4 linked regions of the Pelodiscus sinensis genome follow. The protein of the gene in region 3 interacts with the protein of the main gene of each other region in a biochemical or structural test. Links are inferred from orthologs where the notes say so. Each region holds a gene or a part of one and is shown on either strand. Other genes may lie near its edges. The genes, in order: UBE2B, TRAIP, PCNA and POLK.

Region 1 (7,809 bases), on a different chromosome or scaffold from region 3:
CAGTTGCTAAAAGAGTCTCTCTAGCTCAGCATGTACCATTTTTAAACAGTCTCAGAGGCTATGTCTACACAGCTTCCCTCTTCTGCAAAAGCCTATATTGAAGCACATATTAGCATACTGCAAATGAAGCACATAGCCATGCTTCATTTGCATAATTAGGAGCCCTTTTTGCACAAAAGGTTTTTGTGCAAAAAGGCGCCATCTACACAGCGCCTTTTTGCGCAAAACCCCTCTCTTGAGCAAGAGCCGTTCTTCCTGAAAAAATGAGGAAAAACGGCTCTTGCACAAGAGGGGGGTTTTTGCACAAAAAGGCGCTGTGTAGACGGTGCTTTTTGTGCAAAAACAGCTCCTAATTAATTATGCAAATGAAGTGAGACAGTATGCTAATCTGCGCTTCATTTGCCCAGGCTTTTGTGGAAGAGGGAAGCTGTGTAGACAGCGCCAGAGGGGTAGCCATGTTTGTCTGTAACTTTAAAAACAACAAGTGGTCCTGTGGCACCTTCTATTTCCATTTGTATATTAGCAAAAACATAGTTATATTCTGTTTAAAAATGATGAGTAGTCCTGTGGCACCTCAGAGACTAACAAAAATATATATAGTATCATGAGCTTTCGTGGGAAAAACATACTTCATCAGGTGATGAACAGAGGAGCTGATGAAGTGGGTTTTGCCTATGAAAGCTCATGATACTATTTATACTTTGTTAGTCTCTAAGGTGCCACAGGGCTACTCATAATTTTTAAACAGAATATAACTATGTTTTTGCTAATATATAGCAAAAGGTCCTTGTTTACACAACATTTTAAACAATGTGAGACAGAAGTTATCAACCAGAATAGTATGTACAAGAGTCCAGAAGTGTTTATCAGTTCAGTGTGCATAATTAGGTGCCCAGACTGAGACAAGCTTTCATTCAGAAGGGCCAAGAATCTGACACTTCTATTCACTTCAGCTGGAGTTGTGGCTCTTCAGCAGTGGGAGGATAGCGGCAGGAAGGGTAGAAGACCACCAAAAAACTATCTCAAGGCAGGTTCCCAAAAACTGAGGACTGTCCCACCCATGAGGGAACTCATCTCTGAAAAATTTAGCTTTACTCACTAAGCATTTCACTTCCAGGCCCACAAAAAAGTTACTAAAACCAACAAGAGAGAATGTTGATGCCGGATCTCCAGAGATGTTTTTTAAAAAAACCAAGATATTTGAATAATGAGAGTACAGATGGGCATTTGAAACCTGCATAAATATTTACAGGCTCAATATTCTCTCCTCTGTCAAGTTCCAGCCTGAAGCAAAGTTTGACATCATAGAGCTAATTCCCTTATATTAGAGAGTTACTGCATCATGGAATCTCTGATATAATTATAATGTACTACTTTAAATGTTATAAATAAACGCTTGGTCTATAAACAGTGGCTTTTAGGAATGATACAGGCTGTCTAACAGACCACATGCAATATAATGAAAGGCTCTTTGGACATTTCTCATGTTGACAGAAAAAGGAGAGTGGCTATTGCTTTAAAGACATAAGGCATCCTGAAGACAGGAATGAGCAGAGAACTTTAGAGGAAGTAACTCTAAATAAAAACAAAAACAGACTCCTTTCTACAGAAGCAGAGGTTTAACCAATATCTTTAGTGGGATAGGAGATGTTAACTTTCTTATTGATGTGCATGTGTAGGAACAGCATTTACCATATAGACCCAAGTCCTTTCAGCATCTCCGTCCCAAGGAATTCAGGGGTAAAAGGCTGCTTATCCTGTAGTCCCAACTCCAGTAACAGACCTTTGACAAACCAGCATTTTCCTTTACCAGCATAAAGTGAGGTTTTTGCATTCTAGATCGTGTCTGCTCTCAAGGAAAGTGAAGTTTGTTTCTGTGTTATTAACTCTCTCAAAGAACAGTCCAGCATAGGGGAGGAGAAACAGGACAAAGATAAAGCAGATTAAATCCTGTACCTGGAGAAGCCCTAGACTGAAGTACATACTTGATGTAGTGGGGGGAATTAAGGGATTCAATGTAGTCCAGTGAATAGGGCTCTAAGCTGGAAGTCAGCATATTGGATTCTATTTCTAGCTCTGTTATTGACTTTGGGCAACTTGCTTCACCTCTGCAGACTCCATTTCCCCATGTAAAACACAAGGCAGCCATATGGACCTGTCCTTTGAGGAGAGTGCTGTTCAAGAGCCAAGTGTTACTACTGGCCTCCAGACCAGGTCAGGCTGGTCTTGAAGCAGATACCCAGGATTCATGATGGATCTGCCTACACCCTGCACGGATCGCAGGCTTGGACGGGGCACTTCCTGGGTGCCAGCCTCAAGTGGGTTTGGGACAGCTCCTTAGGCGTTACTCTCCCAGCTCACGGGGCCAACCTCAGCTCAGCAGCGGGCGGAAACAAAACAGGGAACCCCCTTGCATCTCCATCCCCACGCCAGGGAGAGGAGCTGCTCCCACTCCTCAGCGACAGGGGGGCTACCCGCCGAGCCCTCCAGGAACACACAGGGGGGGCTCCTGGTAATATGGGGGGTGCACCGACCCCCTGTCTCCCCGCTATTTTAATTGCTGAGAGGTGGCCCCCCCGCACTGCCTCCCTTGGGATGCAGACCGAAGGGGCTCCTACCCCTCTCCCCACACAAAGCAGCTCCAGGAACTTGGAGCTCAGCCCCGCAGGGCGGCTCCTGCCTGGGCCCTGCTCCGCGCAAGGCATAGCGGGGCGCCAGCGAGACCCACGGGGGGGAGCTTGGTGCCCCCTCGGGGAGGGGGGGGGCGATCCCAGCGCGCAGCCTCCCAGGCGAGACGCTCACCTCTTGAAATCCCTCATGAGCCTCCGCCTGGCCGGAGTGGACATGATCCTCTCTGGGAAAAGAGTCCCTGCCCCCACGGAGCCTCGGCACCGCTCACCGCGCCGCGGTCTCCCTCCCCAGCCCGCAGCGGCTACACAAACAACCCTGCAATGGCGTCTCCCTCCGCCGGGGGGAGGGAAAGTCACAGGCTCCTCCGCGACCGTACCACTCGCTCTGCCGAGGGGAGGGCGGAGAGAGAGGAACGCACCACTACCGGGAGGGGGAGGGAGCTTCCACCCCTCCAACGTGCCGCTGGGGGGCGTCAAGGTGCAGACGGTCGAGCCGCAGAACGCGCAGCGGCCCCGCACGGGGTGGGGGGAGCTGCTGCGCTGTCCGCGAATCGCGTCCCCGGACCTGCCCGGCTTGCAGGGAGCAGCCCTGGAGGCAGGAGAACGCTCTGAAGGCGCCACTCAGACCCTGCCTGACAGGTTCCCCGGGCTTTAGGAACATGAAGAAATAGCTCACACCCATGTAGGTGCCGCTGGAGCTGGGGGTGTTGCCCATCACCTGGCTTGAAGAGGCTTCCATCACAGAGGGGGTTTACAGCTTAATTCATTGGCAGGGTCTGGAAGAGAGTTTGGCGGCAGGAGAGGGGGTGGGGTGGGGGTACGAGAGGGAGTTTGGGAGCCGAAGGGGGCTGGGGGAGTATCACAGAAAAGGCGAGAGGATGAGCATGCAGCCAAATAGATAATTGAGGAGGGAGGCAAAGAAGTGGGGAGTAAAGGAAAATGCAACTTCTGCAAAGTAAAAGTGTCATCTTGCCTCTGTTCCAGCCTCACTCTCCCCTCCCCCCCCCCATCACCCCATGTCCCTCTGTGCAACCCCGCCCTGTGATGGGATTTGCAGCCTCCTGGGAGTAGCACTGGGGCAGAGTCTCTTCCCTGCCCGGATCAGCCCTTTGCCTGCTGGTAGTGGTTCTGGGGTTGGGGCAGGCAGAGCCCAAGGCTGGCTCCATGCAGCAGGGCACTGGGGAAGGGGCTCCTCAACCCCGCACACAGCCCGCAGGGAACAGCGTGGCATAGCCCATTCTCTACCATGCCACGTGTGCCACCCGCCCAGCCCTCGCTCTGCAGAGCAGGCCCAGCTCTGCCCCCTCCTGGAGCAGGAGACAAGAGCTGGGGATGCATGCCTCTTCCCATCCCCCTCGCCAGCAAGTTAACAAAGAGGGGCAGCCACCTGGGCGGCTTCCCCTTTTTGCTCCAGCCAGGGCTGGATCAAAGAGAGGCAGTTGCCCATCGACTCCTAGGGGCGCTGCGATCAACTGGTCGATCACGATCGACTGGTTGGTGATCACCATCCTAGGCACATGAGCAGTCTTGACAAATTCCCACCTATCCTACTCTCAACAGCCAGGTGTGAGGCTGGGCATGAAAACTTCATAGATCAGTAGGGTGGGGAAAGTGGGCAGCAGCTTCCCCCGGCCCTTCCCTGCCTTTCACGCTTTGTACCTGGATTGAATTAAACCAGAGAAAGACAATTTCATTCCAAAATAAAAAAATCCAAACATGGAGCTTTTTGAAAATAGCTACTCTGCTTTAAATTCACACTTATTCCAAAATTACTTTCATGTGTAAACCAGACCTAGTCGGGGATATTATACTCAGGACATAGTTAATGCTGCTTCCAGCACAGTTCCCCAAGAAGCTCATATTGTTGAAGCTGCGCTTATGCTACAGGGACTATACTGGTATAGCTATATTGCCACAACATAACCCAGTACTAAAAACTCAACCTACACTGATAGAGGGGTTTTCTCATCTGTATAGAAACAGTAACTCCCTGAGTGACATATGTTAGGGCAATGGAAGCATTCTTTCAATGACAAAGATGTGTCCACACTAAGGGTGAGGTTGGCATCTCAGAAGTATGGATTTTTCAAGTCCTAAGTTAGGGATGGGCAACCGAGGCTAATAAGTGGGCTGCATGAGTGGCCCTCCTTCATCTCAATGGGCCACAGGATTGTTGTAACAAAGACAGTCTCTTTGGAGTGGGTAGTTTTGGTAACTGCACTTGCGTACCTAGAATTTCCAGGGTGTGCCAAATGAACTGTAGCAGCCATTTGATGAGCTGCAAAGAGAGTGCAGGGCTCTCACACATCACTTTAGCACATACATCACTTCATGTGCCCTTGCTTTAAGCTTAAAAAACAAGATGGACAAAACCCAGCAGAATCTGGCAAGCCTGTGTGTGGGCAACAGTAAACAAAATGTCTTGTAGGTCCACACAGAGCCCCAATGGGCTGTATGCAGCCCTCGAGCTGCAGGTACCCACTACTGCCAATGTGGCTACATCAATATAAATTTTAAATGTAGACCATGCTCAAGTCTTAAATTGCCATACCGTAATTACCATTAAGCCTCTTCCCCCGCTGCATCATGAAGGGGTTTCTGTGGTGCCCAAAGGCTGTGGGGTAATGGGATGTGCAATTTAATTGTTTCTCCCCCTTTCTTTACAATAGTGCCAATCCTAAGCATTCAAATAAACTCTGGTCATCTGAAGAAGTGGGCTGTGCCCACAAAAGCTCATGATACCATCTACATGTTTTGTTAGTCTATAAAGTGCTACCAGACAATCTGTTGTTTTTTAAGTTTATCCTGTACAGACTAACTCAGCTATCCCCTGAAGCATTCAAATATTGTGACCCAAGGCTCCAAAAACTCACAATAGCCTTATAAATAATTACATTTAAAAATAATATATTTTGGGTAATACAGTTTTGATATAAATTTGTTTTGGGGAGTATTTTTGTTTCTTTTTTTGACAAAACAAAAATTCAGTGTCTGTTTCCAATGGAAATTTTCTAGTTGTCATATGAGAACATTTCAGTTTTTAGGTTTTTGATACAAAGTCAAAATTTTCAACAGAAAAAAATCTCAATTTTCTGACCACTTCTAATTGTAGGGTTTTGTTTGTTTGTTTGTTTATCTAGTGTTTAAGCCTTTGACGTATACTTGAATTACATTTCAAAACTTCGCCTGCAAACATGAGGACTAGAAACTTAAAAAAGAAATTATAGCTGAGTTTCTCGTGTAATGATATGACTCCAAAATAGGGCTTAAAGAAAAATTCAAAAAATCAAGAAGCAAATGGTCTGGCAGCACTTTATAGACTAACAAAACATGTAGACGGTAAAGTGCTACCAGACCATTTGCTTGCTGTTTTTTTTGTAACAGACTAACTTGGCTACCCCCTGAAGCTCCAAAAATCAAGAGAGGTGTGATAAAACTGTAAGGCTACGTCTACAATGCAGGCTTCTGCAATGTCTCTGGGGAGGACAGGAGCAGCGTCTCAGGGTGCATCTACACAGCAGCGTTATTTCAGAATAAAGACCGTTATTCCAAAATAAAAATGCAAGCGTCTACACAGCAATTCCATTATTTCGAAATAAATCTGAAATAACGGACAGCTTATTCCGACTTCTGTAAACCTTATTGCATGAGGAATAACGCCTATTCCAAAATAGCTATTTTGAAATAGCAGTAGTGTGGATAGTCCACTGCTGCTATTTCAAAATAGCTCTTCTGCAGGGCCATTCAAAGTAATTACTCCTCAGTCCATCCTGGGGCTCTAAATGGAGGTAGCAAGTCTACATTAGGGAAGCCTGCCTCAGACTAATTTTGAGGATTCCCTATAGCAGTGGTCTCCAACCTTTTTACACCCAAGATCACTTTTTAAATGACAGAACAAGCCAAGATCTACCACCCCGCCCCTTCCTTGAAGCCATACCCTCTCTATTCTCCTCCTCTCCATCACTTGCTATCCCCAATCCTTATACTGCTGCTTTTTTCCCCAATTCTTCTGTAGGAAGAGGTTTTTCCAACATTTGGCCTGTCTAGACTGGACCAAATGTCAGAAAACCCCCTTCTTTTGGAAGCCCCCTTATTCCTCGTGGAAAGAGGAATATAGGGGTGACCGAAATATCATGTTTGCTCTTCCACTAAAAAGCGGAAGAACAAACATCCCTGGATGCAGAAGAGCTTTTCTGGGATATCTCCAGAATCATGAAAAACTCCTGCAGTCTAGCCGTACCCTCACTGGGTTGAGACAGGATGTGTAGGCTCTGGGGTGGGAATGAGGGATTTGGGTGTGGGAAGGGGTGAGAGGTGCAAGCTCTGGGAGGAAATCTGGATGCAGGAGGAGGTGAATAAGGGGACGCTGGCTCAGGGAGGGGGCTCCAGGCTGGGCAGTGTTGGGGTCAGATGTAGTGTTAGGATACTAAGCAAGCCACAGACTTCTGGATGTTAGGGTTCAGGAATTTGGGTTGGAGTATGTGAGGGGCTCAGGGCAGGGGGTTCCAGTGTATGATAAGCTCATATGTAGGACCTAGGGGAAAGGGGAGTGCAGGAGTGTTATGATGCTGTAGCCAGATGGGGGCTTGGCCCCAATTGGGGGTTTGTTGGCCAGGCTTCATTTTTAAATAAAATTCTATGTCAAACACAACAAGTTTCTGCATTGTCTTTATTTCTGAGAAGGGCAGGGAACCTGTTTTAAGTCAGGGGTCACTGACCCACAGAAAAGTCAGTTGGGGCCACACAAGTGAGGTACAAAAAAACCCTTCTCCAACCCCCTCCCCCAAGCTTCACTAATGTAGCCCCAACTGTGTTGGTGGGAGCAGGGGACATAGTACTGGGGAAGGGTGCTAGTGGGTGCTTTGGCAGGGGACAGGGTGCCAGTGGGTACAGAGTTCTGCGGCTGGGGGCAGGGGAGAGGGAACAGGGTTCTGGGAGGGGAGAGGACAGGGTTCTGCAGCAGGCGACAGAGTGCCAGTGGGGACAGGTTTCTGCAGCTGGGAACAGGGTGCCACTGGGGACAGAGTACTGTGGCTGAGGACAGAGGAGTGGGGACAGTTCTGTGGCTGGGGACAGGAGTGGGGACAGAGTTCTGTGGCTGGGGAATGGGAAGAGGGGGCAGGGAAGAGGGAACAGGAAGGGCAGAGGGCCGGGGTGCCAGTGGGGGCAGGGAGTCTCC
Region 2 (7,212 bases), on a different chromosome or scaffold from region 3:
TGTTTAACTGGTTAAACAAATGGAATTTTACATCCCTAATGTGGAGAAGAACATCCAGTCTCACACTAGCAATTGGAGCTTCAGAGCCCCTTAAGAACGGTGTGTTTATTGCAGCACAATGATTAGCTTAGCCAGCCAAATCCAAAGGGCACTGTTCCCCTTCCTCTAAAAACATTACTGAGCAAAGCAAGCTCCAGATGTTCATGAGTCAGTGACCTTCCCAGGATGCTCATTTTTGTGTAGAGGAGTGAACCCTAGTACACATGCATCCCCTGACGCTACCACACATTCAGCTGATCCCACAGGAAGAGAACATGTCGCCAGCCCAAATACACAGGAACTCAGCAAAAGCCTGGAATTGGTTGGGATTGTTTTATCGTTAGCTTGTTGCTGCTCTCGCTAGAGCACATGGACAAGCAGTTGGTGGAGGAGCAACACATCTCTGATGGAGAGGACAAGGAAACCAAGACCACAGATGGGAAAGGGACAAGCATGAAAGGATAGGGCCCAGCACCACACCTGAGTTCAAGAGCATTGCAAGTTGCAGCCCCATTTCACTCTAGCACATTCCCCCAACAGAGGGGAAAAAATCAACATGCATGGCCTCAGAGGAAGCCAAAGCACCACGCCCTTAGCCAGAAGGAAGGTCACTGTGACAAGCAGGTTTAGGGCAGAGGGAAAATTGTGGAAGACAACAGGAACAAGGTTGAAGGAAGAAGTGAGACTTGAACAGTAGAGGTGTTGCTAGGAAAGGAAAGAAGCCTCTTTCCTTTTAGCAACTATTCAGTTACCAGAGTTGCGTGTCCAGCCATCAAAAGAAATTCAGAAGCAAAACTTCCAAAGGGGAACCATAGTGGCCAACAAGCTACACTAGGCTTTGGTACAGACTCTTCTGTGACTAGTTCTTCAGCACTAAAACAGAGAGATGAGATATCTCCTCACCTCATGGTGGTATTGTGGCGGGGACTTTAATATTCAAAAAGCACTTGAGGAGCCTTCAAAGATACCATGTTGCAAAACGGACAAATTTATTTAGTGAACGTTCGCAAACAAGTATCAAGCACAAGTTTAACAACAGTGGAATGGATAGGGAATCTGGAGACAGATCTTACTACAACATGCCTAGCTCCAATCAGCACTAGCCAGTCAAGAACTGTGCAGGGTTTCCCACATGGCTCAGTTTTGGGCTGGTTGAGTAGAACTGCACCTCCATTCCCTACTGCAGTCCTCAGCTCCATTCCAGCTCTACCAAGGCACTGTAACGTGACCTACAATTCCAGTGCTGACAATGAAGCACAAGGCCAACCAACACAACCTCCTGTTATGTTAGTCCTGCATCTCTCCAGAACTGGAGGAGCCCAACTTTCAGAACCGTAAACTATAACAACGGCAAATACACAGTGCAGGTTTTAAACGTCTGTTTGCATCCCTACCCATCTCAACTATGACATTTGCAAAGAGTGGGCCTGGAGAAGAGGAGGCTGAAGAGTTCAGAGAAGGACATGCAAGATGAGAAGAGACGGTGCCCCAGTAAGCGCTGAACCCATCACAGAACATGAGCCCAGGGATGCCCATGCGGAGCCGGCCTGACGCCCCTGTGGGACACAGGGGCTCAGGGCTACTCATCGCTGCCGGGGGAAGGTGTGCCCGCGGGGGACGGGGATACTCACCACTGCTGGGGGAAGGTGTGCCCACGGGGGACGGGGATACTCACCACTGCTGGGGGAAGGTGTGCCCACGGGGGACGGGGATACTCACCACTGCTGGGGGAAGGTGTGCCCGCGGGGGACGGGGATACTCACCACTGCTGGTGGAAGGTGTGCCCGCAGTGGATGGCGGCAACGTCCCGCTGGTTGTCGAAAAAGTCAGAGCAGATGGTGCAGTGGGCGCGGATGGGCATCCTAGGCAATGAGCCCGCAGGGAGCACCCACTTCAGCCTGGGCAGATGGACACGCCCGTCTCAGCAGCGCCCCTGCGGGCATTTCAACCAGCCCAGTCCGAGTCCCCCCCAAGTCCCCACGGCTGGGCCAAGCACCTCCCCATGTCCGAGCCCCCCCCCCGCGGCCAAGCGCCTCCCCATGTCCGAGCCCCCCCCCGCGGCCAAGCGCCTCCCCAGGTCCGAACCCCCCCCCCCCCGCAGCCAAGCACCTCCCCAGGTCCGCGCCCCCCCCCCCGCAGCCAAGCACCTCCCCAGGTCCGAACCCCCCCCCCCCGCAGCCAAGCACCTCCCCAGGTCCGAGCCCCCCCCAGTCCGAGCCCTCTCCCCCCCCACGGCCAAGCGCCTCCCCAGGTCTGAGCCCCCCCCAGTCCGAGCCCCCTCCCCCCCCACGGCCAAGCGCCTCCCCAGGTCCGAGCCCCCCCCCGTGGCCAAGCGCCCTAACTGGGCCGAGCCCCCCCACTGCCAGGCCAAGCGCCGCCCCGGGTCTGAGGCCCCCCCCATGGCTGGACCAAGCACTCCCCCCAGGTCCGAGCCCCCCCCCCCACGGCCAAGCGCCTCCCCAGGTCCGAACCCCCCCCCCCCCCGCAGCCAAGCACCTCCCCAGGTCCGAACCCCCCCCCCGCGGCCAAGCGCCTCCCCAGGTCCGAGCCCCCCCCCGCGGCCAAGCGCTGCTCCGGGTCCGAGCCCCCCCCCCCCGCAGCCAAGCGCCTCCCCAGGTCCGAGCCCCCCCCTCGCGGCCAAGCGCCCTAACTGGGCAGAGCCCCCCCACTGCCAGGCCAAGCGCCCCCCCCCGGGCCGAACCCCCCCAGGTCCGAGCCCCCTCGCTGCCGGGCCAAGCGCCCCCCCCAGGTCCGAGCCCCCCCGCTGCCGGGCCCCCTTGGTCCGAGCCTCCCACGACCCCCCTCAGCTCCCGGTCCAGGGGAGGGGGTTGGGCGCGGCTCGCCTCGCGTTACCTTTTCAAATTTGGTTCCTTCCGAGGCCACTTCCGGCATGGACCGGAAATGACGCAGCAGAGACAGGCGCGGGATTCGAGCCTGCCCGCTACTCGGCCGAAGGGGGCGGGGCCGGTCCCCGCGTTCCTCCCCTGGCCTCGCCGGGGCCCTAGCGCCGACCGAGCACCCGTGGGCTCAAGGGGCGGGGCCTGCGGACCTAAGGGGCGGGGTTTGTGTGATGAAGCCTGGCTTGTCCCAGAGTCTCACCTTCCAGTAAACGGGTGTCCAGCCCAACAGCTGGTGGGGAACCTGGCAAACGCCCTGCGCCCAGGAGGTGCAGGCCGCTCCAGCCTTGTGGGAGTGTTAACTCTGAAACTGAATGATGGTGATTTGATTATCAACTCCAGCTGTCCCCCTGCCAGTTGTTACAGCAGGAACAGCGAATCGTGCTCATGACTCCCCTGACTTTGTGGGCTTCTGAAGTCCCAGCTGACCCTTACTCCCCCTCCAAAATCTCCTGCTTCCAACACACTGCCCAGCTCTCTTCCATGTGCGTGACATCCCTGTAAGTGCGCAGGCCCTGACTTGTAGCCTAATAGATAATGCACCAGTCCTGCAGTAGGATATGCTAGCATAGAATCCTAGAATACTAGGACTGGAAGGGACCTCGAGAAGTCATCGAGTCCAGTCCCCTGCCCTCACGGCAGGACCAAATACTGTCTAGACCATCCCTGATAGACATTTATCTAAGCTACTCTTAAACATCTCCAAAGATGGAGATTCCACAACCTCCCTGGGCAATAGGCACATGGGGCTGCAGGAGTGGAGCTTACTTCAGGATAGGGGGCTAACTAGAGGCCTCAATACATCAGGTGCGGCACGTGACCCTAAGCAGACTAGGTGGTCGCCTAGGGCACCACCAGCCCGGGGCACCCCGTGATTACGTCACGACCACTGACAGCCTGCTACAGCCGGCCTCAAACCGCTCCTGCAATACAGTGACATAAGACGACTTGTATGAAGAGAACAAAGCAGAGAGAACAGAAAGTGCAGCACCAAGGAGGCGGAGGCTGCTCATCCAGGCCCAGCAGAGCAGCAAGCAGAGCCAGACTGTCTCCAGTGCAACGCAGAGCATGTTAGCAAACCGGGCTGGGGCAAAGAGCTCTGGGGGGAGAGGAGAGAAGGCGCTTGCAGGACTGGGTGCATTGGTAGGGGGAGCAGTCAGAACTGCATGCTAAATGCCACGTATCCTATGCGGATGGAGCCCGCTAAGGAGGTGTCTGGCCCTGGTTAGCCTCAGGAGCTGAACTGAACCAATATGGGCTGCTGCACATTCCTGCCACTTCTCTGGCATCCCCAGCAGTTGCTGGGCATTTTCATCTCAGTTCATCAGGTTTATAGCATCTCATTTGGGAAGAAAAGCTCCTAATGGTGCAGAGCTGGCTGCCTGGGTCAGTTCTAGAGGCTCTTACATCACTGTCATCAGTGGTGTCATCGTTAAGCTTCAGCGTTAACAGTTTAATTATTTAACAGTTTAGCAAGAACAGCCAGCTACTCCTGGGCCAGCTAGCTCACGGAACTTGAGCATGGCACATGCATATGCAGGAATCACTTCTGCTAATATGGGAATGCGGCCACCTCTGGGGTGGGACACAGCTGTTGCTGAACAGCACACAGCAAATCTATAAAGCCTTGGGACAGGCAGAAGGGAATACCATGTCCCATTGAACATCAGGGGTGGGGGGGGCAGTTGGGGAAGTAGAATGCAGCTCCCTAATTGGAGGTTGGCTGGCACAGCCCCATTTATACCTGTCCTCCTGTGAACAGCCCTGTGGGTCTCTAGCGAGCCCCGACGTTTCTAACAGAGGTCACTTCAATATCTAAGAGCACCACAGTCGGCCTTGGGAGGGACGCCGTGGCAAGCGCCTGCCCTGTGCAGTCAGGGTGACGTGCCATACCAGTGTGCTCCCAAAGACAGAGCCTGGCAGGGTCGCTCGCTCTGCCTATGGGACTCACCTGTCCAACGGTGGGATCGCGAGTCTTCCAACCCCCTCCAAGCGCCTCCCCGCAGGCAGCTCCTGGTGCAGCAGCGCTCTCAGTCCTCGGCCATCGTCTCCTCGAGCGTCAGAGACCCGGCAAACTGCCCTGCTGCCCACAGACCTTCCGACCAAGCAGTGGGTCCAGTGCAAAGGACTCTGGGAAACACCTGAAGAGGGGACGCTTGGGAGCGGCTGCTCATTGGCTCTCACTGATCTGCCGGTTTGATCCCATTTCCTTGGCCATCACAAAGGCTGGGGGCCCCATTGCACGAGACCAGTGACAGCCCGGAGCTGCCCCTGGGCATGCCGGATTGTTAGCGGGGTCCCCTCTCCAGGGCCACATCCTGCTCCAGGGCGGAGGGACGAGTGGCTGGGGAGTCACTCCCATGCCAGAGAGGCTCCAGCTGACTGCCAGCTGTTTCCCAGCTGCTTGGGGAGCAGAGCGTGCTGCTGCCATACAAGTTTAGGGCCGTGGCGAGAGGACAGCAGAGAACAGCTGGGCTGGACTGGGGGAGGAGGGTCTCCGAGACTCAGCGATTAACCTCCTCTTAGCTCCCCACCTCTGCCTACCCCCCTTCCCTCCAGCCCCCGAGTGTCGGCGTCCCACCCCGTCCCAGCCGGGAGGCACAGTGCAGCGGAGTTGCTCCTGGCACCAGCCAGGTGGGCGAAGTGGCCCCCGGACGGTCGGCGCTCGGCCGCACGGCAGAAAGAGACAGAGCAGGCGTGGCTGGTGCTCTCAGTTTGTCCTCAGAAGGTCTTTATTTGCCAGTGGTACAGTGCAGCGATCACACAGCAGCTTCTGGGCGGTCGTGGTGGAAAGAAACGTTTGAGACAGGACCCAACCCTACAGACATGCAGCTGCGAGTCAAGGAGAGGGGGCAGGAAAGCCGGAGTGGTGGGCCCACAGCCCGGAGAGCCACAGGCTGGGAGAGCCCGGGGGAGCCCCATTGGTGGCAGGTCAACCCCACAGGCCCTTCGCAGTGGGACTTGGGTTTCCTTCCTGTTTAGTTTGGGGCCAGGGGAAGAGGGCGCAGGGAGCTGATGGGCCAGGCCTGTCACTGGGGGGAGTGGAGAGGCCCAGCTCTGGTCAAGGGCTCTCGTCTGGACTCATCTCCCCTCCCCTCAGAACCAACAGCCACAAGCACCTTGCACCCAGGACCAGGCAGGCCTGCCTACATCTAGGCCCAGGGAGGGTTGGAGGGGCACCCGGGGAGGCAGTGGGGCCCAAGGAGGATGGTTGGGCGGCAGGGAGGATGGTTGGGGGGCCCAGGGAGGATGGTTGGGGGGCCCAGGCTGCTAAAATACAAGCTGGCCAAGGCGCTATTTTCCCTCAGACCTGCCCTGGGTCTGCCAAGCATCAGCACGGCGGGGAGGGGGAACCCGGCAGGCAGCTGCCTCCATAGCCAGCTGCAGCCAGAAAAGCCCCTCGCCTGGGCCGGCCAAGGTGCAGAGCCTCTGTGCCCGGGCGGGGCCGCAGGACACGGGGTGCTGTGACCCCGCACACACAGCAAGCGCTTACACGGACACCCCCCCACGCCAAGGCCCGGCCCCGAGCTGTGCTGGGCACGGCCCACAGGTGCCCTGCTGCTCCCGCCGACAGGCCGGGTGCCGCCACAGGCGGGCTGCACACCCCACACTGGGCCCAGGAGGAGAGGCCTAGAACAGTGCTTTGGCCGTGAGCCCCCCGCCCTGCTCCGATAGCCCGAGCCAGGGGCCCACGTGCCTGCAGGTCGGCGCACCCAACTCCCTGGCCACATGGGGCTGGTGCAGCCATGGGACAGCTGGAGCCACCCTTCCCGAGGGGGCTGCCGGCCCTGGGATGTTCCCAGCAGCCTGTGTTCCTACCCGGGCGGCTCCAGCAGGGCCGTGACGCTCCCCCTACATGAGCCACCAGGCTGGGCCGCAGGGAGCCTAGGAGGGTGCTGCCGTGCGCCAGCGGGGTCTGGCCCTGCCCTCAGGCCCTCAAGCAGCAGAGCAGCGCATGGACCCCCCTGCACGTGGACCCTCCCGCACGTGGACCCTGCTCGGACAAGCCTGCCCCCCAGCACGGACTGGGGCCTACGGGGTAGGGCGAGGCTGCGCTGCCTACTCTATGGGTGCCCAGGCAGGTCTGCAGCCTCCAGGGCCAGGCGCCACCGGCACCACGGAGAGGAGACACACCCAGGCCCCTCGCTCCGCAGCAGCCCCAGCTCCAAGCAAGCTCAACGGGCACCTGTGGGTGCGGCCACGTGGGCAGTTGGATCTGGGATTGACGGCAGCCTAGGCCTTGTGACCCACGAGCCGCCCCGCCTGCCGGTCAGCA
Region 3 (6,887 bases):
ATTGCTGACCAATGGGAGCTGCAGGCGTGGAGTCTGCAAGAAAGGCCAGCATGTGGGGACCCCCTGCTCTGCCCCTCAGGCTGCATGTACATGCCAGTCACTTCCAGGAGCAGCAATTTCCATAGGAATAATTAATCGAGTTGTGACCGGTTAGGGGACTCACTACTCAAAGAATTAAATACAAGCATAAGAGAAATGAAAATTATGAATTGCACAGACCAGTCAAAAAACACACTTTGCAAGCTGTAAAAGTAGTAACAACCACTCTCCACATGTGCTGGGTCAGGATATGGGAGTGAGGGATACAGCATGTTTGTGAGCATGTCAGACACTCAGCATGTGAACACTGACAGATTTGCATTGCTAAACTCTCCATTCCCTTCTGTGCGAAGATAGGGTACAGAAGTGGGGGGGGGGGAGGGACACCCTGACATCAGTGCCCCCTTCTCCCTCCAATGCCCTGCACAGCACGCAGGAGGCTCCAAAGGGGCAGGCAGCTCCAAGACAGAGGGCAGGAGCAGTGTGACAGTGGGTGGAGGGGCAACTAAAGTGCCAGTACTTGATAGCTTCCTGGCCAAACCAGTCAGGATTACCTGTTAGAGGCTCCAAGATCTATCCATAGATCCTGATCTACTGATTGAAACCAAATTTCTTTGATAAAATGCTTTGAAGAACAGACCCATCTAGAGATAGTTGTAATTAAGATACATTATAGCTCAAAGATCTCATCATGGAATAATGATTATACATTTTAATATTATAGTATGAGAATATATAAATGTAATGGTTAAGAAAAGTTTTGTAAATGAGTTCCAATAGTTCCTGAATTAGGGACCCAATCTAAGGGTGTTCCAGAGACGTATGCATAGATTTTAGGTTATCTTCCTATCTACCCAATAGGACTCAGTGATCAGTCTAGAACAGGCCTGGGCAAAATACAACCCGCCAAGCCACCAGATCTGGCCCATGGAGGTGGTGGGGAGCCCCAAGCAGGCTCTCTTGCTTGCTGCTCAGAAAACACAGCTGTGGGGTGTTTCCTCTTTGCATCTGGAGGGAAGATTCAGAGGCTGCTCCCACCCCCAGCACAATCTTATTTGCCAGTTTCTAGAGAGAAACTGGCCAGCGGGAGTTGCTTGTTTGAACAACAGGCAGCTACCTTCCTGCTTGCTCGCTCAGGCACATGGCTGGCTTGTTTGGCTGCTAACTGGTAAGTCTCCTGGCCAGAACCTATCCCACATACATCCATACCCCCTTCTCCCAGGCTATGTCTACACTATAGTCTTTTCGGAAAAACAGCAGTTTAAAAAAAACCAACTTCACTTGCACCCACACACCAATTGTGTTTTCAAAAGAGATCAGGAGGGGTTTTTCCAACATTGGTAAAGCCTCTTTCCACAAGAAGCCTTTTTTCTGAACGAGCTCTCCAGAAAAAGGCGTGTACAGACAGGGAAGAGGCAGTTTTCAAAAGAAGAGGAAAAAGCACAGGTGCCCTGGTGGCCACTCTGTCTATAAGTCACAGCTTAAATGCAAGATAGCATCCAGTGCAAGATAACATACAATCAATGAGGTCATATCCCCAAATCCTATACCCCAGTTCCTTCCCTAGGTCATAACTCCCTCCCAGACTGCATTCTCCCTTCTGCACCCAACCTCCATTCCAGACCTCACACCTCCTCCATGGAAGAGTGCAGCCCTCAACCACTTTCCAAAATCTTAGAATGAATCCTGTATAAAAAATGATGGGCCATCCCTGGTCTAGAAGATACCATCCCAGATGCTTAGTTTTGCAATTCTCAAACTGTGGCTTTATCTCCAGAGATAGCATACTTGTTCACAGCAAGAATGTTTTTAAATAAATAGTATATAGAAATGAAACAAAACAGACCGCAGCCCTATTGTCCCTCTGCAAGTCTGTGAGCACAGAGTCAATCCCTTATCGCTCTCTAAAAGAGGCAAGTTTCAAAAAGTTCAATGAACAGAAAATTATTGGGAGCAGAATAGATCTGGACAAGGAGAGAAACATATGAAGGGAAATTGTCAGGCATTCCCATCTCAAGTAAATTACAGTAGCATTAATATGTTAATAAAAAAGAATGGGTTTGAGATATTTACTTGGTGCCTCAAATACCAGAGCCAGCGTATCAGCATTGTCCTCTGCTCTGAGCGTGATTATGTCTTCATTGCCAGCACACTTCAGTATTTTGGACATACTAAGAAAGAAAGAATTTGAAGGGATTTATTTGCAATACAGGGAGCTGCGTCCCAGCCACCCATTTCACACAGCGGCCCCCGGTGCAGGATTTCCACACGAGCCTGGGAAGGGAGATGAGCGCGAGTGACAGGGGAGCAGAGGAACAGCTCCAGGTGCTGCTGAACCTGCCCGCCCCCAGGCCACGACGCGGCGGTGGGGGGGGGGGAGGAGGAGAGCGCGCACGCTGACAAGCCGTAACTGGGCGCCATGGGGCGGACCCCACTAGCCACAGGCCCGTAGCCTCAGCGCCCCTCCCCCACGTGCAACTTTCCCGCCAGCGAGGCCGGGCGCAGCGCGCCAGCGCCGAAGTGACGTCACCTCCGCCGACAAGCCCGCGCGCGCGACAGAAAAGGCGCCAGACTGGCGGCCGACAGGAGGGGCTCGAGCCACCCCGGGCGCGGGGATGCCGCGCGCGCCCCGCCTCAGGGGCCGCAGCCCCGCTACCTGGCCAGGTTGACGCCCATGGCGATGTTGCGGTCGCAGCGGTAGGTGTCGAAGCCCTCGGAGCGCAGCGTGAGCTGCACCAGCGAGACGTGCGACGAGTCCATGCTCTGCAGGCTGATGCCGCCCGAGCCCAGGTCCCAGCAGGCCTCGGTGATCAGGTCCTTGAGCGCCTCCAGCACCCGCTTCAGCACCGAGCCCTGCACCAGCCGCGCCTCGAACATCCTGTCGCCGCGCTCAGCCGCTCCACAGAGACCCCCCGAGTGCCTCCACTGCGCGCCAACGGCCTCTTATAGCGCCGCTGCCCTCGCCTCCCGACCCCGCCCACTCGGCGCTCTCCACCAATCATACTCGAGTCACCGCCGGAAGCCCCGCCCTCAGGGCGCCTCGAACACCAATCAACGCCTCCATGATAACCGGTAGTCCTGCCCCTGAAGAAGGGCTCTCGGCTAATCCTAGAACAGCGGAAATCCCGCCCCATGCCTGTTGCTGGCCAATCATGACGTCGCCCTACGTCTCTTCATGAGCTAACACAAACATAGGAGCGTCGGCCCGTCGCTTACTGTATGCGATCAATCAACGCAGGGCTCTCACTGTCCGTACGCACGTGCCAATCACAGCGCTCCGCTCTTCTGTCCGCACAGCTTCGCCTTCCTCTGCTGGGGACCCAGCGTTCTGTGGGCAGTTGAGAAGGGATGGTGGGGGTGTCCAGGGCGCTGATAAGTGGAATGTGAGGACTCCCAAGATTCCCAGACAGAACACAGAGGACCCACGGGTTCTGTGGAAGTGGCTAGATGGAATGTTGGGTCCACCAATGTTCCACTGGCTTAGCTGGATGGAATGTGTGTGGAGAAGGTGGCTCTTCGTGCTGGGACGTTCAGGGAGTTGTAGGCCTTAGCCTGCTGGGTGGAACATCAGGGCTCTAGGTCCGTTGCAAATATGTATGTTTGCTGCTGAATGGAGCAGTGGGCTCCTGTGGGTTCTGGGATCCTGGTACATTCCTCGGGAGGTATAGGCTGTTACGAGGAAGCTGGGGCCCCAGGTTTATGTGGTGGCAATGAGTGGAATTTGCGGAGGCAGACTGGAATGTTGGGGTTCTGGAGTTCCATGAGCATCATGGGAAGGGCCAATGCGGAATACTGGAATTCTGAAGGTTCTATGGCAATGTGATGTTCCGATGGGCTGAATGACGATTTCCTGAAGGCTGCCAGCTGGGTTGTTGTATAGGTCAAGCTGTTGAGTTTGCCAACTTGCAACAATTTTGGTGGGTTATGTGGTGATGTAACTGATTTGTAGCCTCTGAGGATCTTTCCGGTATCCACAATGCTATACTCTGTAGCAGAGGTGGGCAAAAGCTGCTTTCCCTGCCCCCAGGCCAATTAGGACCTGGGAGTGAGGGAGCATGCAAAGCCTTCTCCACTCTGCCTCCACCCTGTGACCAGCGTGGTTCAAGATGGATGTTGAAAAACTGGAAAGGATTCAGAGAAGACCCATGAGATGAAAGGATTGGAAATCATGCCTTGGAATGATTCAAAGAGCTCAATCTGTTTAACTTAATAAAGAGGTGACTTGATTATAATCAACAAGTCCTTACATGGGGAACAAATAGTTGATAAGGGGGCCCTTCAATCTAGCAGAGAAATGTCAATGGTTAGAAGTTGAAGTGACAAAAATTAAGACAGGAAATGAGGCATATATTTTTAACAGTGAGAGTAATTAACTACTGAAACCATTTACCAAGGGTTATGGTGCATGTTAGCGGGGAGGGGGGGGAGCGGAGGGTGTGTTACAGAAGACCCCCTTGGGGTTGCTTCTCAGTGTGCTAATAAAGCTACTGACACTGGCCGCCTTGCTCTCTGGGGTTTCTCACAACCCTGTCTCGCTGGGCTAGATCTCCTGGTCTCCAGCTAAGACACAGAGTTGAGATCAGCTTCCCTGCCAAAAGAGCAATGCAGACATTGAATGACTTCAGCTCTGAGGAGAATGCAATTTCAGACACAGCATCCAGGAAACCAACCAATCCCCAAAGGGTATCAGAACTGCAAATAAATCATTCAGGCAAGCCCCTTCTAACAATGAAAGAAGAATGTACACACTGATTGTTCCCAGGTAACAATTATTTACACTAGGTTTGATAGTAAAAAAAGTAATTTTATTAAGTATAAACAGTAGGAATTATGTGGTTGCAAGTGAAAACAGAACAAGTAAATTACAAATTTACAAAAAGCACAGCTAATTCTAACACACTAAAGTTTATTGTATACTTACCCTAAAACTTGTTATTTCTGCTAAACTTCCAAGTCAGGGAAGTTCTCTTTCTTCTGTGATGTCTGGCCAGCTAGCCAAAGACAAAGAGCCTAAAAACTTTTGCATCTTAAATAGACTTCCTTTTGAGCAGGAATTCTATTTCTATATTCCCCCCTCCAATGGAAAATTACCTGGTCCCAGTTGGTGTGGTTACATGTCTTTCTAGGACCAACCACTGCTGAGAGACTTAAAGGATGAAGGAGGCTGTTTACAGGTGATCACACAGACATTAAGGTTTCATTTGCACATTTAAAACCATTAACCTACCCCATTCCCTACCACATATCGCTAACTTTACATACAAGATATACGGATCCAGCAGATTGTGACATTAAAATTGACAGGACATGAAGTATTTTGTCCAAAGCATCTTCGAGTTATGCATATTTGTATCCATAAGACAGTTTCATAAAGTATTGTGGGACAGGGGAAACCATCACAGTGCATACTCCAGTCACGGACAATTTTTAAATCAAGGTTGGATGTTTTCTTGAAAGAGCTGCCCTAGTAATTATTGTGGGGAAGTTCTCTGGCCTGTGCTATATGAGAGGCCAGAGTAGATGATCACACTGGTCCATTGTGGCCTGGGAATCTGTCCTCAGGACTAACCTGAGGAAGTTCAGCGCCTGAGACAACCTCCCATCACAGTTCCAGGCATGGAATCTGGGGACCCCTCCCACTACTGAAGGCCCTGCCCTGTCCTACCCTCACTCCACTCCTCCCCCAATACCCATACCGGGTCCACTCATCGGCCCCTTCACCCAAGCAACATGGCCTGGGGGATTACAGGGGCCTAGTGTGGTGGCAGCAGGATTTCTTTCTCCCCTACTGACCACGTGGCAGCAGGAGCCAGAGCAGCCTGGCAGCCTGCTGTGCTCTGCCGCCCTCGCCTGCTGCGTCCCACTTCTCTGTGGTGGCAGGAAACAGCATGCCGTGGGTCCAGAGCGCTCTGCTTCCCGCTGCCACTGAGAAACTGCACAGCAGGCTGGGAAAGGGTGGCACGGTGGGGTGTGGTGGAGCAGGCTTCCAGGCTGTTCTGCTTTCCACTGGCCACATGGTATCTGTGGCTGACTCCTGATGCCGCCCTGTACCAGGCCCCTTACATCCATAGGACAATTGGGGTGGCTGCTGTGGGGCCCCCAAAAACACTGTGCTCATACCCCAAACCGTGGCTTGCATGTCTGCACAGGATCCAACCCTGTCTGGGCAGGTTAGGAAAGGTTATGATGGACGTAGAGCTTCAGACCTCTTGTCTGTTTTGCATAGCACCAGGGATTCTATGGCACTTTGTGTGGAGACAAGGAGAAATCTTTAGCTGGGAAGGATGTCCATTTCCTGGGGAGGGGCCAGGAGGCAGCACATTGTAGCAGAGGTGCTGGAATAATTTGTACACTAGGGTTACGTCTATACTACAGGCTTTTTGTGCAAGAATTGTTTTGCACAAGAGTTCTTGTGCAAAAGGTCTTGTGCAAGCAAGTGTCCACACTGCCATGTGCTTTTGCACAAGAGCATCCATTTTAGCCATAGGGCTTTCTTGCGCAAGAAATCCCTGTTGCCTGTCCACACTGCCTTTTTGTGGAAGTGCTCTTGCGCAAGAGGGCTTATTCCTCCTGGGGATTGGAATAACTCTTGTGCAAGAAGCCCTGTTTTCCAACGCTTTACTGTAAATTTACTTGCGCAAGAACGCGCATGCAGTATAGACGCTCTGCAAGTTATTGCACAAGAACAGCTGTTCTTGCACAAAAAGCCTGCAGTGTACAAATAGCCTAGGACCGGGGTCATCAACCGGTCGATCGCGATCGACTGGTTGATCACAGGGCCTCGACCAGTTGATCGTGAGGTGTTCGTCCCCCCTCCATTTCCCCCCTACTCCCGAGAAGCCCCACTA
Region 4 (7,575 bases), on a different chromosome or scaffold from region 3:
GGTTTTGGAACATATAGAAAAACTTAACAACAAATCACCGGGACTGGATGGCATTTATCCAAGGGTTTTAAAAGAACTCAAATGGGAAACTGTACAACTATTATCTGTGGTTTGTAACCAATCCTTTAAATCGGCTTCTGTATCTAATTACTGGAAGATAACTAACGTGACACCAATATTTAAAAAGGGCTTTAGAGGCGATCCTGGCAATTACAGACTGGTAAGTCTAACTTCATTACCAGGTAAATTAGTCGAAACAATAGTAACGAATAAAATTGTCAGGCATGTAGAAGAAAATAAGTTGTTGGACAAAAGTCAACATGGTTTCTGTAAAGGGAAATCATGTCTTACTAATCTATTAGAGTTCTTTGAAGAAGTTAACAAACATGCAGACAAGGGGGATCCAACAGATATAGTATACTTAGGTTTTCAGAAAGCCTTTGACAAGGTCCCTCACCAAAGGCTCTTGTGTAAATTACATTGTCATGGGATAAGAGGGAAGGTCCTTTCATGGATTGAGAACTGGTTAAAAGACAGGAAACAAAGGGTAGGAATAAATGGTAAATTTTCAGAATGGAGAGGGGTAACTAGTGGCATCCCCCATAGGTCAGTCCTGGGACCTATCGTGTTCAACTTATTCATAAATTATCTGAAAAAAGGGGTAATCAGCGAGGTGGTAAAGTTGCTGATGATACTAAACTGTTTAAGATAGTCAAGACAGAAGCAGACTGTGAAGAACTTCAAAAAGATCTCACCAAACTGAGTGATTGAGCAACAAAATGGCAAATGAAATTTAATGTGGATAAGTGTAAAGTAATGCACGTTGGAAAAAAAACCCCCAAATATACGTACAGTATGATGGGGGCTAATTTGGCTACGATAAATCAGGAAAGAGATCTTGGAGTTACCGTGGATAGTTCTCTGAAAACTTCCACACAGTGTGCAGCGGCGGTCAAAAAGGCAAATAGGATGTAAGGAATTATTAAGAAAGGGATAGAAAATAAGACACAGAATATCTTACTACCCCTGTATAAAATTATGGTACGCCCACATCTTGAATACTGTGTACAGATGTGGTCTCCTCACTTCAAAAAAGATATTTTGGCCTTGGAAAGGGTTCAGAAAAGGGCAATTAAAATGATTAGGGGTTTGGAACGGGTCCCATATGAAGAGAGGCTAAAGCGACTTTTCAGTTTAGAAAAGAGGAGACTGAGGGGGGAATAGGATAGAGGTATATAAAATCATGAGTGGTGTGGAGAAGGCGAATAAAGAAAAATTATTTATTAGTTTCCATAATAGAAGAACTAGAGGACACCAAATGAAATTAATGGGTAGCAGGTTTAAAACTAATACAAGAAAGTTCTTCTTCACACAGCGCATAGTCAACCTGTGGAACTCCTTGCCAGAGGAGGCTGTGAAGGCTAGGACTATAACAGAGTTTAAAGAGAAGCTAGATAATTTTCTGGAGGTTAGGTTCATAAAAGGCTATTAGCCAGGGGATAGAAATGGTGTCCCTGGCTTCTGTTTGTCAGAGGCTAAAGATGGATGGCAGGAGACAAATGGCTTGATCATTGTCTTCGGTCCACCCCCTCTGGGGCACCTGGCGCTGGCCACTGTCAGCAGACAGACTTCTGGGCTAGATGTACCTTTGGTCTGACCCAGTACAGCCATTCTTATGTAATGCCACTGACCAGCATTAAAACCACCCCTCTCCAGTTACCCAGCTCCGAAGGCAGTGCAGAAGTAAAGGTGGAAATAACATGACCCTCCTAAAATAGCCTTATGAGTCCTCTGCAACATCATTTTAGGTCAGGACCCACAATTTGAGAAACACTGGTCTCCCGGGTAAAAGCATGGCTGTGAGTTTGGTAGGACCCTATTTATAATTCCTGCAACCAGCGGTCACAGAACCATACTGCACTATGCAGGCCTTCTGACTCAGGTCTGCTGCTTGTCCTGCATACGTACTACAACATAAGATTGTCACAAAGATTCGGACAAGATTTGACTTGAACCAGAGCCACAGCACAACTTGAACTCTAACACTTCCCCCTCCCTGACCCAGGATCCTAGGACTTGGATTATGAATGCTTGCTAATTTGAATCTAATTGTTATGTGTGTGGATGGAAGAGGGGCAGCATTTGGCCTGTCCACACTAGACAGCTTACAGCAGCACATCTGTACTGATGCAGCTGCACTGCTATAAAATCTCCTATGCAGCCACATAAGAAAGAGCTTTTGTGGGCATAACTGGACCACTCTCAAAAAGGGATGGGAGCTATATCAGCAGGAGAGCATCTATCAGCCTTGCCCGGGTGGGGGTCACACAGCCCATCCAACTGAGATGAGTTTTAAGAACAAAAGTATTAGTGTAGACATAGTGCAGTGCAGACATGCCCTGACATGCCTGCAGGACATCTATCAGTCACACACAGTGCAGAAAGGATTTCTTTCACAGGCCAGAGGTTAACACACTTCCTTTGAGAAGAGCAAGGAACAAAGCAGTGAATGCCCTTTCGCCTCGCACCTACTGCCCGAAATCTCCTGCTTTGGGTCTGGGGCGCAGGGTGGTCTGGCTACCGATGGTTTCCCTCCCAGTGCCAGCAGCTCCTCAGTGACGCGAGTGAGCCCAGCCCCCCGGTGCCGACCCCACGGACGGAGGACGCTGCGGCTCGGCGCGGCCTGGGTTACCTGCGGACGGGCAAACGCATCACTTCGAGCTACCCCTGCTCTGTCGCAACGCAACACACCACCGCGGCTCTCAACTTCCCTGCCCGCTCCCGCCGCTTCCTGTCGTCTCATTGCCCCAGCCACGCCTCCACCTTGTTTAAAGGGGCCGTTTGTAACGGGAGAAAACACCGAACGTCTTCCCCAAGGGCCACACTGGGGCAGGGGGAACAGCCGCACGCGGGGGGTGGGCGATCGCCTCCTTGCCCAAGCTGGGAGGAGGAACCGTTCCCGCTCGCAACAGAGGAGCTAGAGGGAAGAGCAGGTGACAGGTCAGACATAGACCAGCCTCCCCACTACTGCCTTCACCGAAGCGGAACCGCGGCTAAGCTTTTGGGCGGGCACTGGGGAAAAGATGGGGGGAGGGGTGAGAGGCCGTAATTAGGAGACACACATACAACCCACCTAAAATGGCCGTTCTTAACTTTTGAATCAAGGGTGGCGGCCCTGCCCCCTCTCACTAGACTACAATTCCCAAGTTCCACCCCCCCCCCATTCCCAGCCTCCCAGGATGCATCACACCATCACGCTTCCTGCCCCTCCCTCCAGACTACAATTCCCAGCAAGCAATGCGCTCCCCCTGCCAAGTGGGGTTGGGGGGAGTTGGTAAATAGTGGCAGAGAGCGAGTTCCTAGAGTAAGATGGCGGCGGCAGCGGTAGCTGCGGTGGCGCTTTGAGTGGCAGTGGACACTACCCCTCGCGCTGTGGCTCTTACTGTGGGTCGGGGCAGCGGCGCTGCACTGAGGGCAGAGGCGAGGAGTCGAGTATCGGAGCTGCGGCCCCGGCAGCTGCAAAGAGGCCAGGCGCGGGTAGCGCCACCCCGGGAGCCGAGAGGTGTCGCCCAGGTAGAGCCCCCCCGGCCGTCGCTCCCGTCCCCAAGGCAGGAGGAGGCTGCTGTGGGCGGGGGCCGCTCGCTGTTTCCCTGCTCGACGGTGGCTGCAGGCGGCGCCTCCATGTCGGACAACCAGAGCTGGAATTCCTCCGGCTCCGAGGAGGATCCCGAAACCGAGTCCGGGCCGCCTGTTGAGCTCTGCGGGGTCCTCAGCAAGGTGAGCAACAGCAGCCCCTTTCCTCGGGGGGACTCGGAGTCTGCTCTTTCCCCGGGCGGCTGGGGCCGCGCGCACCCCCGCGCTACCCTGCAGAATTGGGCTAGGCTCCCGTCTCGCTGGCAGTTACCCGTGTGGAGGGGCAGCCCCGCACCCCTTCGCCCACCCCGCGGAGACACGGGGCTGGCTTGGCTGGGGCAGCGGCCACCTGACCTAAGAAAGCCTGAAAATGAGTCATTCCCCGGCAAACACCCACTCCCAGACCGCGGGCGGGGCTGTAACGGCCCACACATCCCGCGAGGGCGTCCCCTCCGGCCCTCCCTGCTGCCAGCGCAGCCCCCGCAGTTCTCCATCTCTCTCCTGCCGCTGTCAGTGCTCTCCTTCCCGTAAGCTAGGCGAGGCGGGGAGCCCCGCGGACAGGGTGTGCAGACTGTCTTAAAATCCATCCTGCAGACCGATGGGGGGTGCTCTCATAGTCCCCTTTCCCTTCTTAAATGGGTAGGCGTACTCTGCATGAATGAGTGTTCCCTTGTCTCCTCTTTCTTGATCCCCCAACTTGGCACCCCATCCCCTGACTCACCCTCCGCAAGCGTACATTTTGGGACCGCAGGCTTGTAACTAGACTGATGTAGAAGGTGAGCAGGGGCAGTGAGGGCATCTCTATTCATCAGGTTTTTGTCTGGAACCTGGCAATCCTATCCTAGCTAGTGTGCGTTACAAGCTAGTTTGGAAGGATAGCTGTGATGACTAGGATTGGACTCCAGCACTGAATCTGTATAGGGAGGAGAGAGAGTTCTTGGGGGTCACGAAGGAAACACTTTTTTTTCTTGCGAAGACTTTTTGCAGGAAATAGCAGCATGTGATGTGCCCTTACAAATCACTTCTAATCAATAGGAATACGTCAAAGAGGAGTGGCATGGCCTTTAATCCCGGCATTAAAACAGTGTAATAAAATACCCTTGCAGCAAGAGAACGGAGTAAAGAGGTGAAAAAGGAAAAATTGTATGGATTATTGCTTTTAAAAATTGTGGTGCTTATGCTTATCTGTGTAGGAATTAAATCTATTTTTACTCTTTTATTGCTGTGAATTTGATAAAAATGAATTGTGAGATATCGGGTTAGGGAATTAAGTTTTAAATAATGTTTTAAAGACTAAATGTTTTAATTGAACAATTTCAGTAGAAGAAAGTAGCTTCTCAATATATACTTAATGCCAAGAGAATTTAAATATTTTTGCATATCTCTCTATATTCAGAGGGGTTAAGGCAGAACTGAGTGGATGGGTCATGGGATATGGAGATCATGAGCAGCTCTGGATCATGAGTAGGGAAAACATGTGGGCTATATCCAGCCCTTCAGGGCTTTTAATCTGGCTTTCAGGATTATCAGTCTGGCAGTGCCGTGGGACTAAGGCAGGCTACTCCTGCCTTGGCCTGTGTCACTCCACAGAAGTGTTCGGCATATCCCTGCAACCCCATGGGCTTGGGGGTTCTACATGCTGTCCTCATCAGCAGGCACCATTCCCCCAGCTCCCATTGGCCAGGAATGGGGAACCATGGTTTATAGCTGTTGTGGAGACAGTGACAGCAGGCAAGGGTAGCTCATGGGGCCACCCGTTTTCCGCCCCCTCCCCCCAGGAGCCAACTACCTTAGGAGCAGAATGGGGCCAGGACAGGGTGGGAGCCTGCTTTGGCACTGCTGACCAGGAACTGCCCAAAGTAAGTGGTGCTTGGCTGGAGCCTGCACCTTTAGCCCTCTATTTCAGTCCCTGTCCTGAACTCCTGTCCTGAGCCCCCATCCCTGACCTAGCCTTACATTTATGGCCCACCATACAATTTCCCTAGAGCCTCAAAGTTTGCCCAGTACTTGATACTGAAAAAGTTATGTTACTATGTTTTTGTGAGGGAGTGAGACTCTGTTTATGAACTCTCCAATTAAAAAATATTTCTAAGATCATAGATGAGAGAAGTGCTGAGGAGAGGAAGCAGGCCTTGGCACTGATCTTCAGGATTTCATGTTTGATGCTGTGGAGGGGACAGGAAATATGTTTTTACATGATTCGGCTCAGAAATGTTGGGTTTATTACCCAAGATTTCTGCAACGTTATCTCCCTATTAGATGATTCAGATCATTAAGTAGAAAATCTGGTATTTGTTTCTAGTAGTATGCCATCAGTTTTAATATTGGCAAATGAAATGAATAAGAATTATATTCTAGGTCCTAATGATAAATTATCACGTATGTTAAATCCTAAAGAATTTCCCATACAAATGTGTCATCTTATAAATGCACTGTGTGCAATCTTTAGAGATATGTATGTAGTGCTTATACTCATATGATAGCTGTTGCCTTTACTGTTAGCGTCCAAGTGAAAACACATAATGAGAAATAATCTGAATTGTGAAATATGATAAAACCTGCTGCAGTAAATCTGCTGGAAGGTATTATGATTGGCTGACTTCAAATTCTTTGCTAGTTAATTCATGTCTTCAGTAATACCTGAGTCAAATGATTTTTTTATCTGAAATGATTGCAGCATAATATGTTTAGGTTAAGTTAAACATAAAAATACTTTTTAAAAATAAAACAATATTCCAAACCATTGATAAAGGGGTTACATTTCCTTGCATTCCCTGCAGTAGCTTAGGTAGTCAGGATTTCATCATTTTTGCGGGAGGGAAAAGCTTGATTGTACTGCTTGCCTGTAGAGGGAGTTCATGAGGAAGTTAATGTAAAATAGTTGCCATGTGAAATTAAAGTGCAATAGCTATTCTACTCTAACCCCTTTTGTGGTCACTCAGATTCTACACTAAGTGCCTGATCTAAGTACAAGCACTTAAGGTGAAAGAAGAGTGTCCACGTAAGGCATTAGTGTAGAATAGCTATTTCTGGGTCTTTTCCCTCATTACTCCAGAAAGCCCTCATTACTCCACAAGTAAGGGGAAAAGAAGCTAAGTATTTAGCTCTTCAATTTTTAAATGTATTTGCCTAAATTTGCCCATGCAGAGTCCTACTGATTAGAAATGTTGACCACATGAAAACACTTTTTACAATGTGGGGGCTGTTATCACCGAAATTTACTGGGGAGGGAAATGCATGTAGTCGACAGCATTAACCTATAAGCTTTTGCTTATCTATAAATTGGTTAATCGACTGCAGTATTACATCCCTACCTTGTATAAATGAATCTTTATATGATCTGGAGAATGAGACTTCTTAAAAGCAATATTTTTATCTTATGTAAACAGATATGAAAACTCTCTATTCTACTTTAATGGAAAGTTCTGCAACATCAAAACCAAAAGATTAGCTTCTAAGCCTAAAGAAGACAAAACCGAACTGTTTTACCAGTTATGTTTCTAATTTTTCACTGAACTATTCTGCGTTCATGAATTTAATTGTAATGAACATTTTGTTTTAGTTGGTTGTGATACCACTTCTACAATCAAGACATAATTTCAGTCTTATTGTTAATGAAGTAAAATTGGCTTAGGTTACCGTGCAACAAAAGTGGTTGAAAAGAATTGATGATTTCTGATCAAAGAGATAGCAAATTTGTCATTTGGGGAGAATTTTGAAAAACTGCATTTTTAATTTTTAAATTATCAGGAAGTTTAACAAGCAAACAAGGTGTCATCTCTTATCAGTATTTTTACTATTTGCAGACTTTGCTAGCTCTTTGAGATATATTTCTTTTTTCTTTATAGTGGACTAACTACATTCATGGATGGCAGGACCGATGGGTAGTCTTGAAAAACAACACTCTAAGTTACTACAAATCTGAAGATGAAACTGAGTATG

Evidence for each region.
Region 1: of the proteins of PCNA (region 3) and UBE2B, one has a biochemical effect on the other in vitro, tested with the Homo sapiens proteins (2 studies listed by BioGRID). The link is inferred for Pelodiscus sinensis from reciprocal best matches to the Homo sapiens genes PCNA and UBE2B.
Region 2: the proteins of PCNA (region 3) and TRAIP form a complex in vitro, tested with the Homo sapiens proteins (2 studies listed by BioGRID, with this or other methods). The link is inferred for Pelodiscus sinensis from reciprocal best matches to the Homo sapiens genes PCNA and TRAIP.
Region 4: the proteins of PCNA (region 3) and POLK form a complex in vitro, tested with the Homo sapiens proteins (2 studies listed by BioGRID, with this or other methods). The link is inferred for Pelodiscus sinensis from reciprocal best matches to the Homo sapiens genes PCNA and POLK.

Annotation. Positions count from the first base shown.
Region 1 is NC_134727.1:28,262,470-28,270,278, reverse strand, and holds the start of UBE2B (ubiquitin-conjugating enzyme E2 B), read right to left. Parts: upstream 3,007-7,809; 5' UTR 2,847-3,006; coding exon 2,803-2,846; intron 1-2,802. UniProt on the Homo sapiens protein: E2 ubiquitin-conjugating enzyme that accepts ubiquitin from the ubiquitin-activating enzyme E1 and transfers it to a E3 ubiquitin-protein ligase. In vitro catalyzes 'Lys-11'-, as well as 'Lys-48'- and 'Lys-63'-linked polyubiquitination.
Region 2 is NC_134721.1:45,808,991-45,816,202, reverse strand, and holds the start of TRAIP (E3 ubiquitin-protein ligase TRAIP), read right to left. Parts: upstream 3,002-7,212; 5' UTR 2,893-3,001; intron 1,938-2,892; 5' UTR 1,901-1,937; coding exon 1,803-1,900; intron 1-1,802. UniProt on the Homo sapiens protein: E3 ubiquitin ligase required to protect genome stability in response to replication stress.
Region 3 is NC_134738.1:703,184-710,070, forward strand, and holds the start of PCNA (proliferating cell nuclear antigen), read right to left. Parts: upstream 3,013-6,887; 5' UTR 2,917-3,012; coding exon 2,696-2,916; intron 2,211-2,695; coding exon 2,113-2,210; intron 1-2,112. UniProt on the Homo sapiens protein: Auxiliary protein of DNA polymerase delta and epsilon, is involved in the control of eukaryotic DNA replication by increasing the polymerase's processibility during elongation of the leading strand.
Region 4 is NC_134716.1:84,589,853-84,597,427, reverse strand, and holds the start of POLK (DNA polymerase kappa), read right to left. Parts: upstream 3,019-7,575; 5' UTR 2,693-3,018; intron 1-2,692. Other genes in the region: CERT1 (ceramide transfer protein), read left to right, coding at 3,682-3,777, 7,482-7,575. UniProt on the Homo sapiens protein: DNA polymerase specifically involved in DNA repair. Plays an important role in translesion synthesis, where the normal high-fidelity DNA polymerases cannot proceed and DNA synthesis stalls.